Linked DNA regions of Coturnix japonica. The main gene of each other region encodes a partner of the protein of the gene in region 5 in a complex. Links are inferred from orthologs where the notes say so. Each region holds a gene or a part of one and is shown on either strand. Other genes may lie near its edges.

Region 1 (4,298 bases), on a different chromosome or scaffold from region 5:
GAGTTACAAGTGGATCAGTTATTTCCTAAGATCTTGGTTTTGTATTAGAGAAGATTGTGGGCTTGACAAGCTGGCAAACCTGTGGTACTACTTCTCTCTCTCCAGGTGCAAGAGCAAACAGGGTTGTTTTTGCAATCCAGAGGTCCTGCAGAGGGGAAGCTCGACCAAAGTTATAATCAAAAAGAGCCTAAAGGAGAGAGAGTATACTCTGCACAACATAACACAGTTTATAGACGAGTCATTGAAAACGGCTGGTGTCATAAACTATGTAATTGAGGCTGGCACGTATTTAGACAGAGCTAGGATTGCAGGCAATGCAATACCATAAAAGCAGACAGAGCGCCTACTCCTAATCTCCCTTATTAACCTTCCTCATTGACAATCTCTTTAAAAAACCCCACAAACAACAACATCAACAATAACAACAAAAACCCAACACTGCTAAAACTCACCCTCAATTTTATTTCCTCTCCCCTTTTTCTCAAGTGCTAAAGAAAAATGTGCAAGCACACTGGATGACACTTAAGTGGGGAGACATACTTCTCTGGCTGAATTTTCAGCAAGAAATATCCCTGTCCCCATCCTCCAGTACCAGTTGAAGAAAAAAGAGTTTGCATAAAGGTACTGCAAGCGCTTGAAAAGAATATGGATAAAAAGAGCTTTTCTGGAGTGTGGTGAAAGTCCCCTGTCCATTCTCCACCGACGGGGTGCAGTGATCACCCCGAGGCACATAAAAAGAGCCTACATGCCTGGTGGCTCTGCGGAGACCCCAGCTGAACAGCAGCTCCCAGTCGAGAGTGAAGAAGGGTTTGAAAGAAACTCGCTGGTGGGGTAGGGCAGCACTTTGGCCCTACAGAGCTCCGAAAATGGCTGGACTTTGAGAGGGTAACCGACACCACAGCTCCCGGGGCAGTCCGGGAGGTATTCTTGTTCGCGCTGTCAGAGCAGCTCCCTCTCGAGGCTCGCTCCTCCCCGCCGCAGGCACCCCGTGTCTGCGACCCGGAGCAGAGGGAGCCCGGAGGAGCAGCCGGCAGAGGCTTACCCCCACACACACCAGATCAGTCGGAACGTGGTAGCGGGTAGCGCTGAGCCCGACCCTGGAGCATCCTCACATCCTCCCCCGGATCCACCTGTGACTGGACCGCAGGGGGCACCTACCCAGAGAAGTGAAGTCGGAACTGGGGAAACCTCCTGCCTTTCTCGCCTCTGGCGGAACCCCAGCCCCCTTCCAGCCCCCTCCCCCTTATCCCCCCCTTGAGACCTGAGGCCACGGGGATGGGCGCTGACCCTGAACACATGCACGGTCCCTAGGTGGGGTGCTGAGGAACCGCACTGGCATGGAAGAAGTCTCCTTTTCCTATTGCCCTCTCCGTCTCTGCCCTCCTCACCCCTAGGGCAGGCTCCACTCCCAGCTCCCGAGGACATTTTGCAGGACTCACCGGCAAACATGTCACAGTGGGATTTGGGACGGGTAGCCCGGGAGACGTCCCTGTGTTGGAACTCAACATTTACATTATTTAAAACAAAAACTGACAAACAAACAGAAAAGCCAACTTGAGAAGCGCTTGGTAAATGTGAGGATTTCCCTAAATCGGGTTACCGCGTCTCTCCTTCCTGGCTGTACCATTTAGCCTCGGTTCCGGGATGAGTATCACAGCTGTAACTCAGCAGAGGAAATCTCTGCTGGGGCTTTGCCTTCTCTCCCCTCGCTCCCAGCCCCCGATGACCGCAGTGCGATAGACCCTTTCAGCAAAAGTTTCCCCATGTTTTGCTCTGCTCCTTCTATTAGGAAGCAAAACGTAAGGTCGTTTCTTGGACATTATTTTCTTGGCGGGAGCTTTCCCTATGACGGCAGCAGATGAAACTGTAGGTGCGGCGAGAAAGGGGAGGAGGGCAGAAGGCGAGAAAGAAAAGGGTGGGGGGAAAAATACCAAAATAAAGACTGAAAGAACAAGAAAAAAAAGGAAGAGGAAGGGAAGAAAAAAAAAAAAGAGAGAGAGAGAGAGAGAGAGGAAACATCAATGAAAAAGCGAAGCTTTCTTACCTGTGATCCAATCACCAGAAGTTGCATCCCATCCCGCTGCAAGCGGCTCTTTGAGAGCGGCGGCTGCGGAGTGGCCCCGGCTCTGGCGGCAGAGCATGCGAGCTGCGCGCATCAGCGCCCGCAGGCAGACGCTTTATCTTTCTCTTCCATATCTTCCAAGAGGAGGGAGGGGGGGGGGGGGGGGGGAGAAGACAGATTACTTGGTGCCGTGATAATGAGGGGAAAGAATAACAGTTGGAAAGCATTAAACGAGAGGTGGCATTGTCCGGGTTGATGGAGTTTTTGTCTCTCCCTCGCTCTCTCTTTCCCTCCCACATGCGCAGGCACACACACACACACACACACACACACACACACACACACACCCCGCACTCTCTCCGTGGCACTGGCCCTTGGGAGTCTGCTCCAGCTCAGCCAAGATCAGCTTTAAAATACATATATATGTATGTACACACACATATATACACACATATATACATAGAGCTATCAGACCTGGCTTAAAGGTTTAGACAAAACTGGAGAATTTAAAAATAGAGGATACTGGGGCTCATAAATGAGCCGATTATAATTCGTATTTCCCACAGTACTCCTAAGGAAATGAGGACAAGCTGCCACCTTCATGAGGGTTGGCAGCAAGGAGGGGATCCGGGCGCCCAGGTAAGCATCTCACAGTGCTGGTGGCTGTGCGGCTGTGGGTCCGGGTGCTGTGTGCTGTGTGTGGGTGTGTGAGCGCCAAGTGGGCTCGATTAGCTGCAATGGGCAGGCAATTTCTGCAGAGAACATTTACAATTTTCTTTCAATATGACAGGATTAGTTGCTGTTGAAGGCTCTCCTCCAATAAGATCAGCACTGCTCTCTGATTTGGTGGCTTTGCTGAATAGAAATTACTGATTCTTGTTATCTTTCAACACACTCTTCTTCTTCAGACACTCCCCTCTTCCTCATCAGAAGTCTTTATCTACAATTTGCACATCTGAACTGATTTTTTTTTGTTACCTCTTCCCCATTTTTTCAGCTCAAAACTCCCCCACTTTATTTGTTTTTATTATTATTTTATTTTATTTTATTTTATTTTATTTTATTTTATTTCATTTTATTTTATTTTTGCCATTCTGTGATGGCTCTAAGTCTCACTTGATATATGGGAGGAAAAAGAGATCTGGGTTTTAGATTATTTCAGTCACCGGAGTCTCTGTGCACTGTGGGGAAAATGTACCAAATCCAGATTAGTTTTTCAAACTGATTATTGTGCTGAAATATTCATGGGATGCTGCTTCCCCAGAACAATGACAAAACAATTAGGAGAAAGAGACACATTCTGTGAACAGCACTTAATTCTCCTTGGATGTATGTAAAGCACTCCCTTTTAATTAATAGTCATTAGGCTGCAAAGTATTTACTTTGCTTAAGGGAACTTTTAGGTTCCATGGAAGTAATCTAGATCTAAACATCTTCAGGTTTATTTCCTTTGTTCTGGACCAGAATGCATTTGTGGGCTGGGATTGTGGATTTCTTCCCTAATATTCAGGGCTGCTGGAGTGGCAAACAGAGGAAGGGAGTTCATCTGATCTATAGTATGAAGGCTGAGGGGACGGAGGTGCAGAACAAACAGGAAAGAAGGGAGCACTCTATGAAGGTGACCCCAGTTTCTGCCTGAGTGCTGCATGCACTGCCTTTCTCACCCAGCTCTCTTCTTGAAGGACCACTGGATACATTGCCCACTAACTCCTCTCCAACCTCCCCCTTCGCTTTGAAGAAGTTATTTCTTGTAATGGGTTTGCTCTGAGCAGAGAAACTGCCTAGAGTACTTGCAGATATTAAGCTGTTCCTGGGTAGATCTCACCATTGGTTTTACCCTCCAAAAGGGAGGTGTACGTTCAGGATACCAGGATTCTGAAATTCTCTGCTGGGCCCCGTGCATCTCCTGCCCTTGGTGATAGGACTCACCCACAGGCAGGGAGCTCTGAGATTTGAAGGCACTCATGTTTCAGTGTTATACAAGTCTGTTTTTCTTTACCTGAGAGTACTTTCACAAGGTGTAATTGTTGGATCAACTGTAACTCTTCAAGAGCATCAGGTTAGTTGGCCTGAGAGCCTTTTCATTTGTTTGTTTGTTTTCTTGGACATGCAGGACATTTTGCCTGGTTTTCACAGCAGATTTAATAGATAGCTGTCTGGCCATCTCAGGTGAATTGCCAGAAAAGGAAATCTGATTTGACTCTGGAAAGTCTGAAGTAAGCTGTGGGCATGCTGT
Region 2 (3,500 bases), on a different chromosome or scaffold from region 5:
GGAACGCAGACTACCAAGCTGAGCCTTCCTATCCAACAGTGATTGCTTCAGGATAAGAACCAGCCTGTTCCTCAACAGCAGTCTTGTACCAAAATTAAATAATGCTGAACAGAAATGATATTTAGAAGAAAACCTAAAAAGCAATACAACAGTATGTGATGTGCTGCTCCTTTTCAGGTAGCTCTGAAGTTTAAAGATGGAAAAGCCCAATATTGATTCAGTTTGTTTATCCAGTATGTTAACATAGGAACCATGTAAACAGCTACATCAAGGTTAGTTGCCTCCCTCCCTTTAAAGAAGTGGGAATGGGAAACGCAAGTGATTTCATTCAGTAATTTCATTAAAATATTTCATTTTTTGCCTGAGATTCATATAGTGCTTATCTCCCAGGGACTACTACTTTGTCACAAGTGCCCCAACACCTGGGATGCACCTTGCTGCCTTAGAGGCCCCAACATTCACAGAGAAAGTCTTCCGAAAGGATTCAAAACAGTGTTTTGTTTTATGTGTATGTTGGTTCATGGAGAAGCTTGATGAGTATTTTCCTACTTCAGCTCCCGTCAGAAGTGCCCGGAGCCTTGGTGAAACTGACCACATCCTTAGACTGACATCAGTTTTGAGGATCTTTTGTAAATTAACAAGTCCCTTGACATAGAAAATTATCAACACTTTACATTATTATTATCTTTTTTTCTTTTTTTAAAACAAATTCCTTGTAATATTCCTCATCATCCAATATCCAGTCTTCAGTCTTTTCTGTAGCCATCTAGTCTGACATCCCACCAAACACTTACTACAGACCTTCTCCAAATTAATTATATGTTAATCAGCACAGACAAGTCTCTTTTCAAAATAAACTTGTTCAAACAACTGTCAGAAATGGAAAAAAAAGTCACCTCCTCCTCCCATCTGTTTGTTCCAATGGTTAATTGCCCTCCCTACATGGGTGTGGATTTGTTCAAACTACTGTTGGACTTTGGAGGCTAAAAGGCAGAGGTTTATTGTCTGCTCACACAGCATTTACAAATCAACCCGTCATCCTCCCAAGAGGAAAGTGGAGAACTTTTGGGCTGACACTAGAAGCATGTTGCCCAACCCTTTAAATACCCTCAACCAGCCTCTTCTGAGGTCTCCAGTTCATCATCCTTGAGTTGCTTACACATGAACCGAAGACATAAAAGTAACCGTATCCACGCCTACAACAGAGGCAGAATCTAAATATCCCCATCTAATGATTGTATTAACCCTCTCGACAGTGTTGCACTGACTTTGTTGGTAACACACCGTGACTTCTCCCAAGCTCTTTACAGAATTCCTTCCTCCCAAAATAGTGCCTCGTTGCAGCAAACACAGACTAATCTATGACTATTCATCGGATGATATAAAAATAGAGGTCTTTCAAAGCACTTAACTAAATAAAAATACACTATTCTCCACCTACGAACAGGAGAATGAGGTACAGATGTTAATACAACTTACAATCACAGTAAGGAAAGTTGAAGTTCAGGAGACAGGCAATTTTCCTATGTTCCAGCAACATGATCACACCTGCAGAGACGCTGCTCCAAGTGCTGAGCACATTACATCACACCTCTTGCCACATATGTGGGATGCTGATAAAGATTCACGTTAAGAAAACATTGGCCAGCATCACGATCCACAGGAATGTGCAGGTTCCACGGGGCAAAGCGGCAAGTTGGACAGACTGAAATGGAATTACAGCCTGGGGAAAGCTTTGGAGCAGCAGTACTCTTCTTAAAAACACATGTTGGCAAGCTTACTCTTACTTGGTAGCACACTGCTCGGTGTGTGAGGATTTCTAGGCAAGAAGCATTTTTTTTTGGTAATCACATGGTAACAGTAATATCTCACCCTTACCCTTTAGAAAAAACTACAATGGAACTTATGGTAAAATATTATCTAAAGTACGCTATGCAACATGTTTGGCTCAAGTACACTTAGGATTGCTAGACCCAACTGGAAAGTCTCAGAAAGAACCTCATCAGCTGAAGTGTATTTTGCTGTGATGTCCTTCTTTCAGCAAACACATTCATCTTCACGGTGTCAGCTACACAAGGCCTCTGCTGGGAACACATATTTGCATAAGGCCACTGAAAATACTGTAGGACAGAACACACGGAGGCACTTAGGTCTGCAAGTACTTCTATCCGTCACCGAATCCTTACTGATCACGAAGAGGCACACTGCAGGAAGTCATAAACCAGTGATATATTAAAGCGCTTCAAGAAAAGGTAAGGTACCTACATGTCACATCTGGTTTGTGAAGATAAGATAAACAAGTTTAACTTGCTCTCCTCCCCACATTCAAAGGACCATCATAGTGCTCTTATGTTTGCCATGGCTCCAAGACAGAGTACTTACAATGCAACAGAGTGAAACAGTGTACTGTGTCATTCACTACGCCTCGCCGCTGGACTCGTGCCTGCACCAGTACTTCCTGCCAGACATCTGAAGTTCCCAATCCAAGGATTTTTAAAGCACATCCTAGTCAAAACCCCTGCAAAGGTTTATGCTTAACAGGAAGAACATTACACCCAGGAATCCCAGCTTCAGATGCATGATTCCAGCGAGGGATTTAAGGGTTTTCTAGCTAATATTAGACCTGAGAAATTGTAAGTCAGCTACAGTATCACAGTCTTCATTACGAAGTCTGATGTGAAAGGTCTGCCCCCCTAAATTACTGCCAAAGCTCAACAACTGCAACAATTTCACTGAAGTTTGGACTTAGAATTCTGAATATAGAATGATTTTCTAAGATAATATGCATGTTCTTAAAAGGTCAAATTGAATCACTTTACAGGTAACTTAGACATAGGTCTGCTATAAAATTACAATTTGAGTCAACTTGAAGCTACACTGGGAGAGATTAAGCCTGAAATTCTGCAGAAATTGGCAATAATGTGTTCAGCAGCAGCTTTTAGCCATGTATCAAGAAGTCTGACAGGACCTGGATTTCTCTACTCCTGCTGTAAACTTCTAGTTTAAAAAAACAAACAAACAACAACACACAAGAGTTACTCAAATAAAAACGTCTTTTTGCACATCACTGTAGCATAAGCTGCTTGAGGTTGTCATGAAGGATGGTATCCTTGACATCACGGAAAACTAGTCGGATGTTCTCTGTGTTAATAGCAGTGGTGAAGTGGTGGTAGAGGGGCTTCTGCTGCTGGTCCCGGCGTTTGGTACGAAAACAATCCACCAGGAATTTTTGGACATCCGCTAAGCAGTGGGGATCCCCTTCAAATTGTGGAAAATAGTCTTTGATGCTCACTTTTTGTACTTTTTCCTCAAGCAAGTCCGTCTTATTTAAGAAGAGAATGATGGAGACGTTGCTGAAAACCCGGTTATTGACTATTGTTTCAAAAATGTTCAGGGACTCCGTAAGGCGATTCGTTTGCCGATCCTCCATAAGCACTTGGTCAAATTCACTCGAGGAAACAAGGAAGAGTATTGATGTGACACTGTCGAAGCACTCAAAC
Region 3 (3,500 bases), on a different chromosome or scaffold from region 5:
CTCTTTGCTTTATTTTCCTCACTACTACATTATGTGGCTCTATCCTTCGTAATGTGATTTATATGCCACATGTCTATAAAATGTATGTGACTTACATACCATCAGTACTTTAGTTTTCGTTTAATCTTCAGCATGACCCACTCTTGACATATCCACACCTTAAGATATTACTAAAAACAAACAAACAAGCAAGCAAGCAAGCAACACTCCTCCACCTCCTAAAACATGCTTGTTTAGTAGTTGGTTGTGTTTTCTATCTGCCATTTTCCACATTTCCAACATCTGCTACAATTTTTAATTTGCAGATCGGGAATGCTAGGTTTCTGATGACAGAAACCTAAGATTTTATTGTAAAAGCATATTCAATGCCAAACCCATATAGAGTTTTTTGTTTTTCACCTTGTTGCTCCATCCAATTTATTTGAAAGGCCCGTGTTTCTAAAGCATTGGAACTAGCGTTGCTGCAAACAACAATATTTGGGAAAGAATTTTAAATATACTTACTTAAAGTAAAAGAATATGCCAAGAGAAATCAGAAGTGAGGCGATTGAAAGACCGTGTCCTATGATGGCCAAATAATATAAATTCAGAGCAGTCTGCAATAGAAGAATAAAACCAATAGCATGTGATACAGAATTATTAAGAATGAACATACTTCTTCATCTACCCACAAAATAACTGTAATGAGGATTAAGAACACAAAAACTTGACTGAAAACAATGAGTCAATTGAGAATCCTGCAAATTGCTATCTTACTAACATCTCTGATGGGTAAAACCAGATTCATTTAAAACACAAAAATTCTCTTAGATGTTAAGACAATAGGTTTTTAAATATACACTATGTTTTCTCTGAGTAGTTATACAAAATCAGGTCATTTTTGCAACTGTGCTTAGTGCACTCCCATCTGAGGTTAGATTTGTCTATCGTGTGTCTCTTAAAGAAAATAAATCAATCTTCTACACATATGAAGGTATGTACTTTTTGCTCCTATAATTTTGTCTCTTATAAGGATACTTTCCTAGAATCGAGCTTTCGTTTGAAGGATACAAATAAAATGAACAATGGCTCCAAAATAGCAAAGACTAAGTGGAACTAACAAATAAACCTGCAGCCAAACTATAGTATTATGAAAAGCTAGGTAGAGAGCAAAATAATGAAGAACGGGTGAAGTAATGTTAGTCATATATACAAGATGTTATCATCACTTATTTGAATTAATAACTTAATTTCTACCAATAACAACATTCTGCTTTCAATTATGGAGTCTGCCTCATAAATAGACCTTTTTTGTTTTTGTTTTTTATTACAAAAATCATTTTACGCAGAAAAAAATGAACATCTTTAGGTTGAACCCTACATGACCACGATAAAGCATAGTTGTCCAGATTGCATAAGAAAGTATAATAGCCTGCATGCACAGGCTCACGTACTCCACATGGTACATGGCCTCTGAACCTATTACTCAAATTAAATGTTTGAATGGATACATAAATTGACTTGTGAAATCATATAAACAAATTATATGTAAAACTTTAAAGAAATGTTATTAGATGAGACACTATCTGTGCGTTTTTAATGTTTCACAGATCATTTTTTGAGACCGGTGATGTGCATTTATTCCTTTCCTACCTTCACTTTTTCACGCGTATAGATATTACACTGGGTGTAGTTCGTCCACGTCCTGTTGCTTTCTGGGTGTCTAAACCAGTTCCCGCTTGAATCGCAGATCTTTGTAACTTTTTCTACAGGCAGTCAGAGTAGTGGAAAAGAAAAACAGAAAAAACAAGGCAAAAACACAACAGTCAGCAGCGAAGCTCTACTTCCTGATCCTCGTGTTTCACAAAAAAGATTGGCAAATGAATGACAGCTTTATTAGTATGACTAGAGAGACGTTGACTGTTACTTGGAGTTCTGAGAAACCCGAGGCCGTTGCTTTTGCTTGGCATGGGCAACCGTTTATGTGTGTTTTTTCTTAAGAAAACACATACATTCCTCTTCCACAAATTGCTATCAAAATATATCCAACTGTTAGAGAACTACCAGATGAAGTGATGAGGATATTTAAATGGCCACTTTAACATCCAAGATATAAACAGAAGTCTAACATTCTACCACTGTAAATTGAACAGGCAAGAAAACATCAATAGAGAAACTGCTCTAGAACCAGACTGGAGAATTTCCAGGACTGCATAATGGTTAAGTCACATACTAAATGGCCACCAAAAGACCACGGGAAATAGCAAATGCGGCAGAAGCAGACAAGAGTGGCAGTCTGTGACATTTTCCACATGCTCACACAGTTGCCAAGTTCAGCTTACTGGAAAAGACTCGCTTGTGGGAGAAACACTTGTTAACTTCAGCTGCCAAACTAAGGTTAAAAAAGTAAATAAATTACATATCTGCTTTCCTCTCAGAAGGTAATTCTCATCACCAATAGCAAAGAATGGTCATCTAAATTAAATTTGTATTTCCTAATCTATAGAATTCTACCATGGCTACTTTCAGAAAAGTAAAAAACCTTAGAACTTTCCTGTAATACAAGCTAAGTGCAAATAATGGATGTGGAGTTGCTGAAATTCAGATGCATTACTGACTTGAGTAAAGCAAAGAGTAGGCATCAAGCACACAAAAGATCATTTCTTTTAGCAGTATCCTTATGTAGAAAGCCCACATACACACTTACCTGATGGATTGAAATCTTGGAAGTAGTCGGGACAATGCTGTACCGATACAGTTCCTGCGGCAACATCGCTCCAGCACAACCAGCCGTCCCATGTCCTGTTACAGTAAGGACCTAGACACAAGTGGACAACTGCCAATAAAATAGCAACTCTTCCTTCAAAGTAGTCTTTCAAAAGTTAAGGTATAACACCAGGAAAGGTAAGTTGCTCATTTACATGGGAGATGACTTTGTAAAGATAAAAATGGAAACTTAAAATTTAGCAGGAGCTAATTAGTATTTCATGTTGTAGAACCACTTCCTTACAGGTATATTTCTCAGAAATATCCATTATCATTCTTATTGACATTAGCTATTCCTGCAGTTCACAAAACACATTAGATCTACGGCACGGTAGGGTAATGTTCTCTGGGCAAAGAGAAGTAAACCAATTCAAACCAAAAAATACACAACAAAGAACTTTACATTTCATCTGTCCTGACAGGAGGTTGATGATCTTTAAGGTCCCTTCCAATCCCAGCCATTTTGTGGTTCCGTGATTTTGCAAAGACCATTTCGCTGAATTTATTTAGATTTTGGATGTGTACTTCAGCTATAGATGTGTTTGAAAACTGAGTGGTATCCTCAAAGATATCAGAAAGCCTATTCAGGAAGCAGCCATGGTTTCTCTTCCTCAGAGATGAGCCTGCAGACATTTCTCTGTACATTTGAGAACAGGGATGTTGCAGTGTCCCTCTAGAGCCTGTTTCAGCCTCTCACTGCGCTCTCCAAGATCTCTTTCAGAACACCTAAAATAAACTTCCTTTGAGAAAGAGCT
Region 4 (3,500 bases), on a different chromosome or scaffold from region 5:
AGGATGATTTGGCAAGATCTTTACAACTACAGAATACCACAAATGTAGAAGGTAACTTTGCTACAAAAAGTTTGAGAGCTAAATAACATCTGTATGTATGCTGTATAAACATGCAGCTACAGCATATTTAGACAATATCACCACAGTCGAAGTAAGTAAATATATATGGAAAAACTGAGTTTTTTTCTCAAATAACTATTTCCAAGCATATTTTGCTAATTATATTATTCCACTACTAGACATTTTTTTTAACATGCTTTTTAGTTTTTGAACAAGAACCAGAACCCTCTGGCTGTTGTAAATATACTAGCAGCTATTAAAGACTTAAAATATTAGTCTACAGATGCTAATGGCTCCAGTTTGGTCAATGAGGGGGACAGACGCCCAGCATCTTACTGGGAGAATGCGCAGTTAAAGGAAAAAATAAAGAGAATCACCCATTATTTGCTATCAAACAAATAATGAAAAGCACACTGATAAACAGCCTTACCTGTGAGATTTTGCTGTCTCTTTCTCTTATTTTGTCCTTTACCAGTTTTATTAGTGATGTGATATTGTAGAATTCAGCCTCTTCCAGTACACCTAGAATGAGAACATTTTTTGAAAAGACTGTGTAACCAAATGCTCCAGGTCAAAACCACCAACCAGTTCTTAATATCATCTTCTACACAGCTATGGAAAACAATTCATTTTCCCTTAGGGTTGGTAAAGGAAGTTACATCTTCTAAAACTCGTTTGACAGTTGGTATTCATTTGCTTGAAGAAGACTAAAAACTATTTCACAGAGTCATAAGAAGCATCTCCCTTCATAGCTGAATTTCTAGGCTGAGTTTCTGAGGATGGGAGCTGCGACACACACCAGGAATCACTCAAAAAGCTCTAACAACAACATACTGTAATTGTACAACACCAATCAGCTTTGTCTGCAACAGATTGAAATGCTGCACAATGTTAATTCATCATCTACCTTTAAGTTATTTTTGTTGACTTTCAAAGCAGTAAAAATAACAACAAAATGACGAGAGATCAAGAGATTTAGTAACATCCTACCTTCCTCAGCTAGGTCCTTGTTAATAACCAGCTTCCCATGTCTGAGATAGTTCAGCACTGGCCCAAAGTAGGTCGGGTCTCTGTCTATTAAATAGGCACCTGTTTCATCCTATTTTCAAAACAAAGAAAGAAAGAAAGAAACAAGACAGCTAAAAAAGCACAATGATTTGAATGCACAAGCAGGAATTGCAAGCTAATACACAGCATGGTATCTGAATAGCAAGCAGGTTCTCAGACATAGACATACCACTTCAAACCAGGTTTGTTTTAGACATTAAATGAAATTCAGCAATTTAGTTGTAAATATATCTGATCAGTTACTCAACTCAAACTGTATAACAGGCAACTTCTTTTGTATGACCAACTGCCCCCACCCCTTGTTACCAACGATAAAAACATCAGAGCATTGGTGCCACGGGCGAACACTGAAAACTAAGGTTACAATCAGCACAGGAACTATCATTTTGGTTGGAATTCTGAAGTATCAGAACAAAGACTACCTTACAGAGAGGTTCAAATACCAGCTATCTTTTTTCATCACCATTTTGATCTAAAATCTTTTGTTTCTGCCTTTGCTCAGAGGCTCCCTCACACAGACAAAGGCATACAGCAACCTCCAACTGATGCTCAGCTCAGTGAATTGAACACTGGATCTTATAAAGAACTCAGGAGCATTTCCTGCACAGCTGATACCTTTGTCAAAGAATCAAAGGAATAAAACTTTTGTTTCCTTTATAATTCAGTTTGTGTGAACAGTTGTGAGCAAAGCAGTATTGAGGTACTTCAACAGCCAGATGTCTAAACTGAAGGAGCTTGATAAAAGGATTGCCTAACTGATATGCTGGGCCTTTTTGTCAACAGATCACTGTAAATATTAGGCCTTTCGTAGCTAATCTTTTCCTTCAAAAAATAAAAAAATGAAATATATATTTTTTTATATATTTATATTATATACATATATATATTCAGGCACATGGATTTCTTTCTGGAAGGATGTACTTGTCTCATCAGGGTCAGCAGAAAGGCCAGACCACAGCCTGAATTGAATTATATATATTACCAACTAATTCCCCACAAGAAAGCACCATTACTTGAGAGGAACTAAGCGAGGATATTGTATAATTTAAATCAAACGATCTCTAACCCCATTTAACATTGCTCCCAACAATTGCATGAATGCACAAATTGAATCGTTAGGAATCCATGCCCGGCTCAGTGCCTCCACTGAGGTCAAAATAAGGCTGATGACTTCTCAAACACTTTTCCCGAATGGACACTGTTAGAAACCACAGGATCAAACTCTTTGCTCAACACTTTGAGCTCCAACGTGTTTATCTAAAACACTGGCATCATTTATATACACCAAGCGAGCAGAATTTCTGCTGATGGCAGGAATATGCACAGAAACACAATTATATTTGGCACTGAGGCAGGATTTAGGAGCAGCTGCCTCCCTTACCCTCCTGTGGTATTTAGATCTTCATTTGGATGCCCTGAACATCTCTCTTCTCTAACTATGTGGCCTAAAACATTGAAAAACTGTTGATGGCCAGTACTAACCCAAACTACATTAATATCACAACACACTCACCTAACTGACTAACCAGAAATATACTGGCAAAATAAAGTTCATCTTAACTATATCTTAGAATAATGACTATAATTAAGAAGCTTTTCTTGCACTGATTATTTAGTGCTGACAGCTAAGAATGTGCTGCCAAGAAGATTTTGGTTCATCTAAAACATCCAGCGCTTCCATAACTGTCTATCTCAGTACTATTATTCTTAACTTGAGAAAGGTTTTAAACATCAAGCACAAATACAGTTGCCAAAATCTTTTTAGGAAAGGTTGATGATATTCTCACTTAGGGAGAAGTTTAATGAATGATAAAAGAGTTTATAAAAGATAAACTGATATACTGGAAAGCCAAGCTGTAAAACTTACCATACAAACATGTTCACCAACGAACCACAATTTAAACACTTCTGAAAACAAATCCTATTATGAACATTGGATATGACCACTACCATTCACTCATTTGCTGAGATGAATCTCGAACAGTCTTAAATACAATGACACTTATCACACCTTGAGACATGAAGGGAGAGGAATAACATGAAATCACGGAACTGATTTCTTTCAACATCAGTTTCGCCACAGGGAGCACAGAGGTCAGTCTTCCCTGTGCTGCAACCAGAAGCACATCCAGCAGCAGCCTGCAGGCTGCCAAGCCTTGCTCCACCTTAGAACCTGCAGGTGGTTGGAAGGCAAACACGCTGCCTTTCCCAGAGCCTTTTCAGTAAAAATGAAGGAGCTGTTATGATGCACGTAGTTAAATAACAAACAAAAGCGTTGGTGTGCAAACTGTGATAGAGGCAATCAGTCCCTAGGTATGCAGCTGGATTGGATGAAGTATAATCTACTATTTCAGCTTCCTATTCTCACATGC
Region 5 (3,500 bases):
AAACAGAAGGTCACTGCCCTTTGTCATTCTTCTCAAAGCTTGGCTGATCCGAGGTGGACAAAGCGTTATCCAAACAACTGTCTAGTAGCTACGGTAACTCCTGAGCACAGTTACACTGTCCTGTATGAGCCTTGTTTTAACAGATCCTTTTTGTCTTATAAATTATGTTTAGGAACACCTTGATATAAAAACAAACGTCTACATTCATTAGTTACTCACAATCAGTGGACTAATGAACGGGCCTTTAAAGAGACTGACACTGTGTAGGAGAGCTATTTATTAGACAACCTTTGCTGTAAGAACTGCTGCCTGGGAGATCTGTATTGATTTTAAGCAGTAGATATAATACAAAAACTAATGAAAAGAAGATTGAGGCCTTCTCTCATCCAGAAGCTAGTTTTTATTGAGACATACACCCACATTCTCCTCAAGGAAAAAAGCTGCACCTGCTGTCAGTGCAGAATATTTTCTAGGAGCTTTTCATATTTATAAACACCTAAATATGACTTTGTAAAAAAAACTGTAAATTAATATTGAACACTAAAGTGTTTTAAGAAAAATCGCTTATTTCTGAAAGGCAAATTATACCAAAAAAAAGTCAACATTATCTTTTTATCACAAAAAATTAGGTCAATTGAGAACACAGCCTTAACTGAGCAGCCAAAGGTAATAGCCTTGAAAGATCAAGTTTTCCATTACTAGCAAAAAATGTAACTTAGAAGCAACAATCGATCATGTATAATATTCTGGATGACTACCACCTTTATGAAGTTTATTTCAACAGACTTGCTGTGTGTATCATTACTAACAATCATGTCACAATTTTACTGCTTACCAAGTGGTGTCGCCAGAGCTGGTAACAATTTGATTATCATCCAAGAAACGACAGCATGACAAGTATCCTGAAAGCAAAACAAAAAGCCAAAGAATAGAACTGGAGATCTGGCTTCACTGTATGCCCTCATAACCTAGGCCATTCTGAGTATGTACTCACCTGTATGCCCAGCTAGTTCACGGCTGACACGTACATTCCCTTCACGAGTTTTCAAGTTATAAATGGAACAGATGTTATCAAGACCACCACAAGCCACATAGTTTCCAGAAGGCGCATATGCACAAGTCATGACCCAAGACGAACGCAGGGGAATAGCATGCACCTGAAATAAATACAATCAGCACTTCACCTGCAGAACAACTGATTCAATCATTTAGCACCAGTAGGTTTTCATCTCTCCCCCTCTCTACGGGTGCATCAAGAAGAAAACACACAGCTTGTCAGATCAAGTAAACATGTAATTAAAACCTCAGGTTTGCCTTTCCTGAATTCAGTTTAATCAGCAATTTCCATAAAAATCAAATTATTTCAGTGCTCTGATCACTAATAGTTTGCAGTAGCTTCAGGAAAGTATTGACTTCCAAGTACTGTCAGCAGAACTGCCAGTTCTAGGCTCAGATGCTATGTTATAAATGAATTAGTGAGGAATTTGTTCCTCTCAGAACCATTCATATCCTACTCTGGAAACCCACAGCAAACAATGACTTAGTATTTCACTAACTTCCTCTTTGCCTTCTTCTGTCTGCAGTGCACAGTTTCATACACAAAACACTTGAAACGCTGCTACATTCCCTACTGGAGAAATCAAGCTTTAGGCTTATGTCAACCAAAGCAATGCAGTCAAAATCCTGACAGACAGTACTTCCTTCCTTTGTATTAATTATCAATTTAACAGTTAATCTTACCTTGTTTGTAGTATAGCTGTCCCAAATTATAAGTTTGCCATCCTGGGAGGCACTAACTAGAAGCCTGAAGAGGAAACAAGTGGTAAATACGGTCACATCGTGTTCTATACATTGCAATCTATATAGGCTTCAAGATTCAATGAGTTTGATGATCTATACTGTCAGCTTGCTTTGTTTTCTGTTTTTACAACAGAAGTTACAGTTCTAAGCTGTCCAGAAAAACTGAATGGACATCAGCACTTTGGGACATTAAGTTGTCCCAAGCTCTCTCTGTTGCCTATGTTCTTTTTGAACTACTGGGTTTCTGTGGCAGAACAGGTAAATAACAGCTGGATGCAGCCAACTTCCCACAGCAGTGAACCTACCTGGAATCAGTCCCCCAGTGCATTGCATAAATTTTGGCCAGGTGTCCCCGGAGCGTCCTCCTGGTGCGCATTTGAATTCTCCCCACCGGGTCAATATTGGCTGTGATCTGAAATAGGAATTGTACCATCCATTGAATTTTTCATAGTACCACAGAAGAAAAAAACCACAAACCATCATACCCAACAACATTCCAGTAAGCACTGCAATGCAAATCAAGAAGTTCTACTTATTTTTATATTGACCAATTTCTTTTTTTAAATGTCTCATCAAGAATTACTTCATTTATGCAGTACTTGCTTTAAAGAAACCATCATTTCGTTATCTGTTTTTTCCCCCACAGTCAGGAGCATGGGGTGCACTATCTCAGCCCATAGACACACCTCTGCTTTTGAAAGATGAATAACTCACTTTCAGATCCAGATGAACTTCCATTCCAAATACTGGAAAACTATAATCATATTATTCCTGTTTTATTTAACTTTTGGAAGATAAAAGCAGTCTCTGGAGTAAGTAAATAGCAACATAAGGAAGTAATTAGTTTAGCTGTCCTTACGCAGCTAAGTTTAACATCAGTAATTTCTCCAGCCTGAAGTACTGGTTAAAAACAAAAACAATTAATAAAAAATACCCAAGCCAGCACACATTTCCAGTAATACAGCAAGCACACATCTCAACAAATCCAAAAGTATGCAAGTTTGTTTTATGGATATTGTCTGCATATTTCTCATGTCTCCAATGTTACAGATTTAGCAAGAACATCTGAGCAAGAGTCTCTGCTTCTTTTCAAAGGCCATCAGCACAGTGAAAAGTGCATTTCCCTGACACAAAAATCGTCATTGTGAGCACATTCCATGTTGGTTGCTGCTCTCAGAAACTGGACATCAGCACCACATTTTCCTTGAATAAAATTTAAAAAAAAAGACGAAAAAAACCAAAAATCCACTCAGATGTACCTTTTGTAATTCATGTTAAACTCTTCACTGCTTACCTGAGCCAAGGTGGCATCTGCACACGCTTTCCTAGCATCCTGCAATAGAAGAGTTAAAGAACTCAGAAGAAGTTCTGTTCAATCTTTGTTTTGTCAAGTTAATCAAGTTGTCACAAAATAATGTTTAAAAAGCATTTTGGTTTGTTATTCAGAAGGGACCCGTCGTAACTGCAGCATGAACATAACATGACAGACTGCTGTCAAAACATGCCGAGCGTTTGAAATCTCCTTGTCATGAAACCTCACATCCGGCAAAGAAATCCAGCCGTATTGACATGCAACTTCTACTACATTCAGGAAAAATAACACACGAGATGCGTTCATTAATCAGGCTTGTTTCATACAAATTATATTAAGAGTTAACAAATTGTCCTACAGTAATGCATGGTTTGGACAGAATCAGCTC
Region 6 (4,185 bases), on a different chromosome or scaffold from region 5:
TTCTGACTCAAACACCCCTCCCTTACACAGTTTCTTTCAATAAGACAACTCCTTCTTCACTCAAGATATTAAAACAAACAAACCAAAACCAACAAGTTGGTAAAGAAGACTGCAAATTCATTCATAAGGAATTAACAATTGGAGTACAAAATAAAGGACAACTTTTAGGGGTATGACTTGTCACTTTTTTATTGAGTGTGAAATACAAGAATCAGTAATTTTTACAATCATCACAGGTAAGGGTGGATTGGAAAACACAGATACTGGCAGACACTGTCCAATTTAAGGGATGCAGAAAAACAACAAAGCTAACTCTCAGTATGAGCCACAATGGGCTTTAAATCTTTAAATCTTCCGCATTTGACAGAAAATCTAAATCAAATTTTTATAGGTTGGAAATTAGCTCTTCAAAATGTGGAATTTTCTTTTTCTTTCAGGAAAATCATGCCTATCTAAATGGTTTTGCAAGGCATTCAGGTGCCATGTATTCAGAATGAAACACATCTGCATTTTTGCTTAAATAAACCTTTCTAAAGCAGTATGTTTGTCACATGAGTTCAACACCAGAGACTCCTTTAAAGAAATCATATTCTTACCTTTTAAGAGGATGCTGACATCATCTTTCACATATCCCAAACTACCTGTGCAAAGTACCAGCCTCCCATAAGACACATTACAAAAGGCTGTCACACCAGTCTGCTTATGAATTCAGAGAAGGCAAGTGCACATCTCCTGGCCAGTTTCCAGATGATCAATAACAGTGAACAAGACCAACCCTTTGTAATTAAAGAGGCACAGAAACCACCTGAGACCCCAGAACAATGCTATTAAGACAAGATTAGGCACGAACCCATTTGCCACTCTGCGTATGCAGCAAAGTGCGTTCAGCTGTACAAAAACATTCTGTATAGTCATACACAGTGTTACTAATGACAGCCTATCACTTTAATATTGACCCTCAAAAGTCCTCCACAGCCCAGTGACCAATTTCAAATAACATAAAATAGAAGTTACTGAAGGAAAAACACAATCAGGAGTGAGGGGCTAGAGAAAGAAAAAAAAGAAAAAAAAAACAACCAAAAGAAACACACAAACAAACAGAATCAAGCTCCTCCCAGCTGTCCCCTGATATACCAAATTTTGAAGTTTAAGTGCATTGCAAATCCAGTAGGGTAAATACATCACCTTAATATTACTGTAGACAAGACATCAGAAGTAAGTTACTCATCTATGAAAATGTAATGATTAAACAAAGATTAGTACAGCTTTTCTACTCTTGCCAAGCACTTTCTGAACCTGGATATCATTCAAGGTTCAGTCTGGAGTAAGAGTTCATCTCTGTTGTAAGCAACAAGAACTACTTTGTTTCGAGCAACGGAAACATAAGAACTTTAAGAACCTTAATAAATAAATAAATAAATAAAGCCTAAACTGCACTGATTGCACTGAGCATTTTTTTTCTGCTAAGTTTTGGTGATAGACTCTCGGAATAAATCTTCAAGGTATATAATGTAAAAAGAAGTTAGTGTATTCTGAAGAAGAAAAAATAAACACTAAAACCTCAGTTATAGTATTAAGATCTGCAGGGTGGTACAGATGAACGCATCTCTCCTCCTCTCCCCACTCCATAAGAGAATACTGTTACTTTCTCTGATGCTTTCCGTTGCCATGGCATCCTTTCTACTGTCGGTCTCTTTACCCTTATGCTATTTTCCCAACTGGCACTCAACCTGTGGGCATCTTCCTTGCAGCTCCACAGCTTTATAAATTTGTATTTCTGTCTGAAATGACACGTTTCAGCTATTAAATACGGTGTATCGTTCTGCACCTCAGTCAGGCTTCAGTTAGACTCACAGCACTGCTTCTGAACACACAAAGACTGACGTACTTGAACAGTAAGCAGCTCATTCAAAATCTCTGTCTGTATACATGTGTCCAGTACCTAGCATGAGGGTCCTGATCCCAAGATTAAGAAAGCAACCTTAAAGCACTTTAACAAGTACCACTCTTTTTTTCTACTTGAATGCTCAATTTGTTCTATCAGTTTCAATGTACTTCTTCCCAACATGTTCATTTTCTTAGCATGTAATCTGTGCTGTGCATGCATCTCTGTCAAGATGTCTGTCCATCCACCTCAAAGACTGTCAGAATATCCCACGGAAGGCAAAACTCCACCAAAGAAGACACTTTCCCAAGAAGAAACCTCTGACTCCCAACCGAGAGCGCTGTCTACCTCCCTCTAGTCCTTTGCCTCAACAGGAGGGTAGTTCCTAGCCCCTACTTCGCAGCTCTCTGGCCGGAGCACACCGTGCGATAGTGGGAGCCGCGCTCCGTCCTGCTCTTAGCAAGCAGCTTCCACAGAAAAAAATAAAGAAAAAAAAAAAAAAAGGAAAAAAGAAAAAAAAATAAAATAAAAAGAGAGAGAGAATGGGAAAAGGCAACAGAGGAGACTTTCACTTGTTACAACTACAAAGTCAGATTAACCGCGCGCAAAGTGTGATTTTCCTCCGAAAACGCAACAGGTTTCTCGACACCGCCCTCATCCCCACCACCTGTTTCACTAGGGGCCCCGTATTCTCATCTCGATTCCGGTCCGGGCTCCATCCCGGTCTCGGGCACTCACCGGCGGCGCGGGCGCGGAGGTTCCGCTGCGCTTGGCGGAGCCGCGCCGGGAGCTCAGCCGCCGCCAGGACTCCGCCAGCCGACCGCGGCCGCTGCCACCCGTCGTCCCCTCGGCAGCGCAGCCCCGCTCCGCCGCGCCGGGGCTCCGCCGCTTCTGCCCCATGTCCCGCGGAGCCTCCAGGCCCCGCCGGCCGCCCCGCACCGCGCCTCCCTTAGTTTTAACGATGCTGCCGAGACGCGGAGGGGGGGTGGAGGGGCGGGCCGGGGCGGAGTGAAGCTGCCCGCCCCCCGCGGCCGCGGGACTGCCTCGGGGGAGCCCCTGGAGCTGCCCCCTGAGAGGGGAGGGAGGGGACGACCGCCTACGTGGGGGCAATGGCCGTGGTCGAGAGCGCGGTGTGCTGGGAGATGGTGGGAGCTTTGCGAGGAGAAATTGAAGTTGTAATTGTCAGCCTCGAGAGGTGCTGGCGCGAGCGGGGAAGAAGAGGTCAGGTGCTGTGCGCTGATCAGACGTGACTTGTTACTAACAAGAGCTGTTTCACTTCTCTCTCTGCATATTGCCAAAATCTTACCAGGAGGTTGCTTTTTATTAATCTGAATTAACAGTTTTACTGAGCTAAACTGCTAATTTCCCCATGATCCAGTAGCCTTACCGATGAGTGAATTCCATGCTAAGTTCAACGTTTTCCTCCCCTATTTACTTGAAGGAGGATGCAAACTCCAAATCAGCAGCAAAAGGCTGCATGGTACCTGTTGGCAAGGCACACTTCGTGGGGGCCTCTTTTCCTTTCTTAAATATAACAAAGAGTATCTCTGGAATTAATGCTTTGTCTGCCAGAATTGCAGAGGTCTCCTGCAGCTCCTATTCCGAGTTTCTGGGCTCACTATGATCCAAAGGGCATTTCAGGAACGTGCACATCGGGTCCATCTGCTTTACCTGCTGAGCACAGTGCACCAGTGTTTTGCCAGAGGGAAACAATGCCTCTCTTCTGTCCTCTGAGCTCTCTGCTAATTTTTGTTTGTGAGATGACAGAATGCTCAGGTCCCCACGGCTGAACAAACAAGATGGGTAGTCAGCATATTGGGAGTACAAGCTCAGACAGCAACATTACAAGGTAAATAATTCTTTGTGTGCAACACAGCCATGCTAACAACAAGAACAACAAAAACCTAAAAGCACTGCCAAAATAGGCTACATAGCTAGGTGGACACTGTGTTATATAAGGATCATTAAAATTGTTTTGTAGGCACTTACTTAGACTTGCACTTATGATTTAACCCTTCTTATAACAATTCTTTAGAAGAGTGTTTTACTGAAAAATTCAGATGTATGTGGCTATCTTAAGAAGCTGAACTTTCTATTTTTTCAAGATGATATGACAGTATAATGGACAGTATTGTTCTAGATACAGCTGCAGTATTTTAAATGGTTTATGAAATAATGTGTTTTCCTCACAGTGCGCTTAATGTCTTGATAGTAATCAAGAAACATGGGCCAGAGTGTCCAAACAGCATGTTGAATTATCAGTTAACTCCAGGTTGAAAGCAAATGACTAAGAATTTTGT
Region 7 (4,230 bases), on a different chromosome or scaffold from region 5:
TTAGGTCAAGGATGAAGCTGAGCTTGTCGGGTGTGTGGAAAGCATAAGACATGCACACGATGAACGGGCAGTCCTGGCCAGGGAGAAGATGTCATGCCAAGCCAGCTGTGCCTCAGCACCCCGCATCACCCTGTGCCCTTAATCCCCTCACCCCTGTGCTGACAAGGGACAACATGATGCGCTCGTTGAGGGCCAGCGTCTCACCCTGCTTCATCTTGATGCGCTTCTTGTCCAAGCACTTCATGGCATACCTGGGGGCAGAGAGTCCCTGTGGGGTCCTGCTGCTACCTGGACCCACCACGCCCACTCTTTGACATCTGTGGTCAGACAGCTCCTTCCCCCAACTACCATGATGTATTGCCCCAGAAGGTGGAGACACAGCAATGCTCTGGCACCGCTAAATGCCCACCATCACGGCAACACCGCTCACCCCCCCTGCCCACAAGAACAGAGCTCCCCAGCCCCATTACATTTTGCCTGTGTCTGCTTTCCGGCAGCCGTAGACCTCCCCAAAGCCACCGCGACCGATGATGCGATGAACACTGAAGTCATTCATGGTGAGCTGAAGTGGATCAGAAAGAGGGGATCACCCGATGGTAGCTACCCCCTGTGTGTCCTGGGGGGGTCCCATACCCTGCCTCAGTCTCCTGGAGCTCCCTTAGAACCAGGACCCATATTCCCTCCCTGGCTGTATCCCGAGGAGCAAGGTCTCACATGGATGTTCAGCTCCACATTCTTCCACTGGCAGAACCGCGTGAACTTGTCGCTGCAAGGAAGCACAGAGAGGGTGAGAGCGAGGGACCCCTGGGGAGACCTCTAAGACGCAAGGAAGGGCAGAGGAGATCCGTATTGTGGAGAGGACCCCATGTGGGAAAAGAGACCCCAGGCCAGAACTGGGAGTGACACTGGCCCAACTCTCCAGTGTGGGGACAGACAGCACTGGAACTTCTCAGCAGGAGCCCTGCAGCACCCTGAGAGACAGATCTCCCTGGGCAGTGCTCCTGTCTCACCTCTCAATGAATTTCTGGAAGATGCTCCCACGCAGGTTCTGGCAGATCTCCTCAATGTAGGGCTATGGGTAACACGGGGGTCAGCATTACATCCCCAGTACCACCCAGGTCCGCCCCATTCCCTGCAGGTCCCACCTCTAGGTGGGATATCTCACACCTCCACTACCACCTTCTGCCACCCAAGGCCAGCTGTCTCTGGTGACCCCAGTGCCACCATCCCCTCCACGTCACGGACAGCACTTACCTGGAAGAGGTCTGGGGGCACCTGCTTCTTGCTCAGGAGGCTCTGCACGTGCTCTGTAGCACTCTTGGAGAATGGCTGCAGGGCAGGACAGCACCACATCACCGTGAGGAGGTGGACACGGTGGTGGAATCTCCTGTGGCTTGGCACGATGAGGCACAGCACTCACATGGGAGCAGGCCAGCAGCTCCTTCATGATGTAATGGTCGTAGATCTGGCGGCTCCTGCTCAGGCGCTCCTCCTCCGAGTCCAGCTTCTCGTATTTCTTGATCTGCCAAGGACACAGATTGCATGGTGAAGAGGGCACAGCCCCACAAGGAGCACACAGTGCACAGTGTCTCGTGGACACCTGTGGATATCAGGACCCTGGGCACTGAGTGCATTGCTTCCAGGCATCCAGGGCACCACCTCCCCCAGGTGCATCAGAGGGTACCCCATCCCCAGCCCCACATCACACCTCTTCGTAGAACTCCATCAGGGACTTGGCTTCCTCAGCCTGGTTGAGGGCGAAGTCCCGGAACAGCAGGTACCCTGGGGTAGAGGCAGTGCTGCGAGCGGTGACCGCATCACAGTGTGGCACCCAGGCCGAGCGATGTGGTGCCACACAACAAGAGCACAGCAGGCTGAGAAGGGCTGTGGGGCTGCCAGAGGAGGGCTATGGAGCTAAGCAGGGCTGTGGGGCTGCCAGAGGAGGGCTGTGGGGCTGCCAGAGGAGGGCTATGTGGCTGCCAGAGGAGTGCTATGCGGCTGCCGGGAGGGCTACTAGGCTGCCAGAGGAGGGCTATGGCGCTGAGCAGGGCTATAGGGCTGCCGGGAGGGTTATGGGGCTGCCAGAGGAGGGCTATGGGGCTGCCAGAGGGCGGAGGTGCCGGAAACCACCAGAGCCGCGGGGAGGAAGCAAGAGGCGCTTCCTGCCCAGGACAGTTAGTGCGAGGGGAAGCGGCGGGGCGGGGCAGGGCGGACCGAGGGGGGGGGGGGGGAGGACCCCACCCAGCCCCTCCGCAGCCCCACGGCGGCGCCCGCAGCCCCCACTCACCGATTCTCTGCGCAAAGATCTTGTCGAAGGTTAATTCGCCCCTTTCCTCGAGGTACTTCTGCATGACGCTGCGGATGCTGGGGGGCGGCCGGGGCTCAGCTCGGCCCACACTGCCCCATACTGCCCCTACGCGCCCCGGTGGTGTCTGGGGACGGGGGCTCCGTAGGGGCACGGCGGGGCCGAGGGCGGCAGGGCAGGCAGGGCCCGGCCCGGTGCCCCCGACCCGACGGCACTCACCTGGGCTCGGGCAGTAGGATCCGTTTGGAGGCGCGGGCGGCGGGTGCGGCCCGGCTTTTCTCCATGGCCATCAGGTAGCTCACGTCGGCCAGCACAGCCTCCAGATCCGCCATCTTGCGCGGGGCCGAGGCCGGCACCGGCCCGACCCCCAGCAGCGACCCGGAAGCGGAAGTAGGAGCAGCCGGAAACGCGTTGGGCTGGGCCCGAGCTGTGCGCGGGGCTGAGCCCGGAGCTGCAGTATGGCAGTAGTTGCAGTAATGCTGGAGGAGCAAAGATGTCCAACCCAGCTCCGCAAACAACCCAACAACCAACAACCAGCCAGGAACAAACGGCCCCTCCGTGCCCCCAACACCCCCCGGCCCCAACGCAGAGAGCGCACGCGACTTGGTTTTGCTTGAACCCTTAACGCTTACATTTAATTTGAAAGCACAAACATCGGCTGGACTCTAAATTGCCAACAAAAAATATATATTTACAATATGTCTCCGAGGGGGGAGAAGGGAGGAGGGGGGGGTCGAAACGGAACGAAAACACAACGAAACCTTTAAACGATGGGGAGTTGTTGCGGGAGGCAGCCGGGCGCGGTGCGGGCGCTTTAAATCACTGAGCGATCCCATATACAGAACTCTCTCTTTGTGTATTGGGAGCTCGCTGTCCCTGCGGGGCTATGGGGCTGTATGGAGGGGCTGTATGGGGGGGGTCCCGCACCGCTCCCCTCGCTTCTGTCCTGGTGGCAAAACTCAAACAAATGAACCCAAGAAGAAAGAAAAACGCCGCAGCAACAGCCACCAGGACAGAGATGGGGGCTCTGCCCCCTCCTTCCCTAAACCCCCCCCAGCGCTGCTCACAGCCCGCCCGCAGCCTCCTCTCCTCCCTTATTGCTTCTGGGGGCTGCGCTGTGCCATGCACCGGGGAGAGGAGCAGCAGCCGGGCACGGGCAGGGAGGGGAACGAAAGAGCGACCCAAAAGATGCCAACTTTTTTTTTTCTTTTTTTTTCCCTCATATCTTGAGTTTTTTTTCCGATTTTTTACTTTTAATTTTTTTTGCTTTTTTTTTTTTGTTTTTTTGTTTTTTTTTTCTTAAAGTGCAAAAAGCTCTCTGCTGCCCAAGAGAGAGGTTCTTTGGACCAACCGCTCATTGCAAAGGAAAAAACGGCAGCTAAAATGGGGTGGGGGGGAGGGTGGGAGATGAGAGGACAAGGCAGCGAGGCAGCCCTGCCACACGAATGTCAGCGCTCGGCCGTGGTAGGCAGCTGGGGAGGGAGATGCAGCAGCTTCCTCCCCCCCCCCCCCCCCCCCCCCCCCCCCCCCCCCCCCCCCCCGTGCTCACTCACCCGCGGCTGATTATTCGAGTCCTCCCTGAGCTCTGGGGGCTGCTCCCCCAGCCGAGCCTCGGCCACTGCCTGTGCACAGGGCTCTGAGGAAGCGCCCCAGGGTGGAAGCCCCATCCCCAACCTTGCCGCCATGCCCAGGCTGGAGGGCTCCTGCCCTCGCTGCTGCAGGGGAAGAAAGGAATCCAAGGGCTGGGTGAGGGGGTTTAGAGCAGGGCTCGAGCTGGTGGTGGCACCGAGAGAGAGGGCCCGTCCCAGCTCTGCTCCCTCCTCCTTGGAGAGGCCTCAAGCTTTGTGCTAACAGGGAAGTGACAAGTGTTTCAAGGCAAGGAGCTGGGGAAAAGTAGGGGGAAGAGGGTGCGCCCCGTTTCTCCA

Evidence for each region.
Region 1: the proteins of GNB1 (region 5) and CHRM2 are in contact, whole or in part, in a cryo-EM structure (PDB 7T96), measured with the Homo sapiens proteins. The link is inferred for Coturnix japonica from reciprocal best matches to the Homo sapiens genes GNB1 and CHRM2. Residues at the interface, in NP_001269468.1 of Homo sapiens: His54, Leu55, Asp312, Asp333, Ser334, Phe335; in NP_000730.1 of Homo sapiens: Val50, Asn51, Arg52, His453.
Region 2: the proteins of GNB1 (region 5) and GNA13 are in contact, whole or in part, in a cryo-EM structure (PDB 8H8J), measured with the Homo sapiens proteins. The link is inferred for Coturnix japonica from reciprocal best matches to the Homo sapiens genes GNB1 and GNA13. Residues at the interface, in NP_001269468.1 of Homo sapiens: Gly53, Leu55, Lys57, Tyr59, Gln75, Asp76, Lys78, Ile80, Thr87, Asn88, Lys89, Val90, His91, Ala92, Ser98, Trp99, Met101, Leu117, Asp118, Asn119, Tyr145, Asp186, Met188, Asp228, Arg314, Trp332; in NP_006563.2 of Homo sapiens: Ser31, Ile34, Asp35, Leu38, Glu41, Lys42, Val45, Lys50, Gly205, Ile206, Glu208, Lys219, Val221, Lys231, Arg232, Trp233, Phe234, Glu235, Cys236, Phe237, Asp238, Ser239, Val240, Arg279.
Region 3: the proteins of GNB1 (region 5) and CALCRL are in contact, whole or in part, in a cryo-EM structure (PDB 6UVA), measured with the Homo sapiens proteins. The link is inferred for Coturnix japonica from reciprocal best matches to the Homo sapiens genes GNB1 and CALCRL. Residues at the interface, in NP_001269468.1 of Homo sapiens: Arg52, Phe292, Ala309, His311, Asp312; in NP_001258680.1 of Homo sapiens: Lys167, Ser168, Ile394, Arg397, Asn398, Gln401.
Region 4: the proteins of GNB1 (region 5) and KCTD5 are in contact, whole or in part, in a cryo-EM structure (PDB 8U7Z), measured with the Homo sapiens proteins. The link is inferred for Coturnix japonica from reciprocal best matches to the Homo sapiens genes GNB1 and KCTD5. Residues at the interface, in NP_001269468.1 of Homo sapiens: Arg52, Gly53, Leu55, Lys57, Tyr59, Gln75, Asp76, Gly77, Lys78, Thr87, Asn88, Lys89, Val90, Ala92, Pro94, Leu95, Arg96, Ser97, Ser98, Trp99, Met101, Leu117, Gly131, Asn132, Val133, Arg134, Val135, Thr143, Tyr145, Gly162; in NP_061865.1 of Homo sapiens: Val157, Arg159, Val160, Leu161, Gln162, Cys163, Gln164, Glu166, Glu167, Gln170, Met171, Thr174, Met175, Ser176, Asp177, Trp179, Ser190, Tyr191, Val205, Lys207, Leu209, Glu219, Ser221, Lys223, Ala224, Leu227, Gln228, Arg230, Gly231, Ser232.
Region 6: the proteins of GNB1 (region 5) and TRPM3 are in contact, whole or in part, in a crystal structure (PDB 6RMV), measured with the Mus musculus proteins. The link is inferred for Coturnix japonica from reciprocal best matches to the Homo sapiens genes GNB1 and TRPM3. Residues at the interface, in NP_001153488.1 of Mus musculus: Lys57, Tyr59, Trp99, Val100, Met101, Leu117, Tyr145, Gly162, Asp186, Met188, Cys204, Asp228, Asn230, Asp246, Arg314, Trp332; in NP_001349418.1 of Mus musculus: Lys615, Arg616, Lys618, Ala619, Lys621, Leu622, Leu623, Gly624, Met625.
Region 7: the proteins of GNB1 (region 5) and GRK2 are in contact, whole or in part, in a crystal structure (PDB 5UKL), measured with the Homo sapiens proteins. The link is inferred for Coturnix japonica from reciprocal best matches to the Homo sapiens genes GNB1 and GRK2. Residues at the interface, in NP_001269468.1 of Homo sapiens: Leu55, Ala56, Lys57, Tyr59, Ala60, Gln75, Asp76, Gly77, Lys78, Pro94, Leu95, Arg96, Ser97, Ser98, Trp99, Val100, Met101, Leu117, Tyr145, Ser147, Asp186, Met188, Cys204, Asp228, Asn230, Asp246, Ile270, Cys271, Asp290, Phe292; in NP_001610.2 of Homo sapiens: Tyr553, Gly556, Lys557, Asp558, Phe584, Pro585, Asn586, Arg587, Glu589, Pro597, Gln598, Leu600, Thr602, Glu604, Ala654, Leu657, Val658, Val661, Pro662, Lys663, Met664, Lys665, Asn666, Lys667, Arg669, Pro671.

The regions. Positions count from the first base shown.
Region 1 is NC_029516.1:54,483,444-54,487,741, reverse strand, and holds the start of CHRM2 (muscarinic acetylcholine receptor M2), read right to left. Parts: upstream 2,801-4,298; 5' UTR 2,660-2,800; exon of another isoform or gene 2,212-2,659; intron 2,197-2,211; 5' UTR 2,045-2,196; intron 1-2,044. UniProt on the Homo sapiens protein: The muscarinic acetylcholine receptor mediates various cellular responses, including inhibition of adenylate cyclase, breakdown of phosphoinositides and modulation of potassium channels through the action of G proteins.
Region 2 is NC_029533.1:6,470,051-6,473,550, forward strand, and holds part of GNA13 (guanine nucleotide-binding protein subunit alpha-13), read right to left. Parts: coding exon 3,065-3,500; 3' UTR 1-3,064. UniProt on the Homo sapiens protein: Guanine nucleotide-binding proteins (G proteins) are involved as modulators or transducers in various transmembrane signaling systems.
Region 3 is NC_029522.1:5,173,646-5,177,145, reverse strand, and holds part of CALCRL (calcitonin gene-related peptide type 1 receptor), read right to left. Parts: intron 2,798-3,500; coding exon 2,687-2,797; intron 1,746-2,686; coding exon 1,633-1,745; intron 597-1,632; coding exon 505-596; intron 1-504. UniProt on the Homo sapiens protein: G protein-coupled receptor which specificity is determined by its interaction with receptor-activity-modifying proteins (RAMPs). Together with RAMP1, form the receptor complex for calcitonin-gene-related peptides CALCA/CGRP1 and CALCB/CGRP2.
Region 4 is NC_029529.1:7,254,001-7,257,500, reverse strand, and holds part of KCTD5 (BTB/POZ domain-containing protein KCTD5), read right to left. Parts: intron 1,160-3,500; coding exon 1,051-1,159; intron 583-1,050; coding exon 491-582; intron 1-490. UniProt on the Homo sapiens protein: Its interaction with CUL3 suggests that it may act as a substrate adapter in some E3 ligase complex. Does not affect the function of Kv channel Kv2.1/KCNB1, Kv1.2/KCNA2, Kv4.2/KCND2 and Kv3.4/KCNC4.
Region 5 is NC_029536.1:1,650,839-1,654,338, reverse strand, and holds part of GNB1 (guanine nucleotide-binding protein G(I)/G(S)/G(T) subunit beta-1), read right to left. Parts: intron 3,134-3,500; coding exon 3,095-3,133; intron 2,213-3,094; coding exon 2,106-2,212; intron 1,805-2,105; coding exon 1,741-1,804; intron 1,158-1,740; coding exon 995-1,157; intron 903-994; coding exon 836-902; intron 1-835. UniProt on the Homo sapiens protein: Guanine nucleotide-binding proteins (G proteins) are involved as a modulator or transducer in various transmembrane signaling systems.
Region 6 is NC_029547.1:31,831,328-31,835,512, forward strand, and holds the start of TRPM3 (transient receptor potential cation channel subfamily M member 3), read right to left. Parts: upstream 2,801-4,185; 5' UTR 2,786-2,800; coding exon 2,624-2,785; intron 1-2,623. UniProt on the Homo sapiens protein: Constitutively active, non-selective divalent cation-conducting channel that is permeable to Ca(2+), Mn(2+), and Mg(2+), with a high permeability for Ca(2+).
Region 7 is NC_029520.1:139,340-143,569, reverse strand, and holds the start of GRK2 (beta-adrenergic receptor kinase 1), read right to left. Parts: upstream 2,801-4,230; 5' UTR 2,638-2,800; coding exon 2,525-2,637; intron 2,365-2,524; coding exon 2,288-2,364; intron 1,783-2,287; coding exon 1,709-1,782; intron 1,523-1,708; coding exon 1,421-1,522; intron 1,330-1,420; coding exon 1,255-1,329; intron 1,073-1,254; coding exon 1,011-1,072; intron 767-1,010; coding exon 715-766; intron 563-714; coding exon 471-562; intron 252-470; coding exon 152-251; intron 74-151; coding exon 1-73. UniProt on the Homo sapiens protein: Specifically phosphorylates the agonist-occupied form of the beta-adrenergic and closely related receptors, probably inducing a desensitization of them. Key regulator of LPAR1 signaling.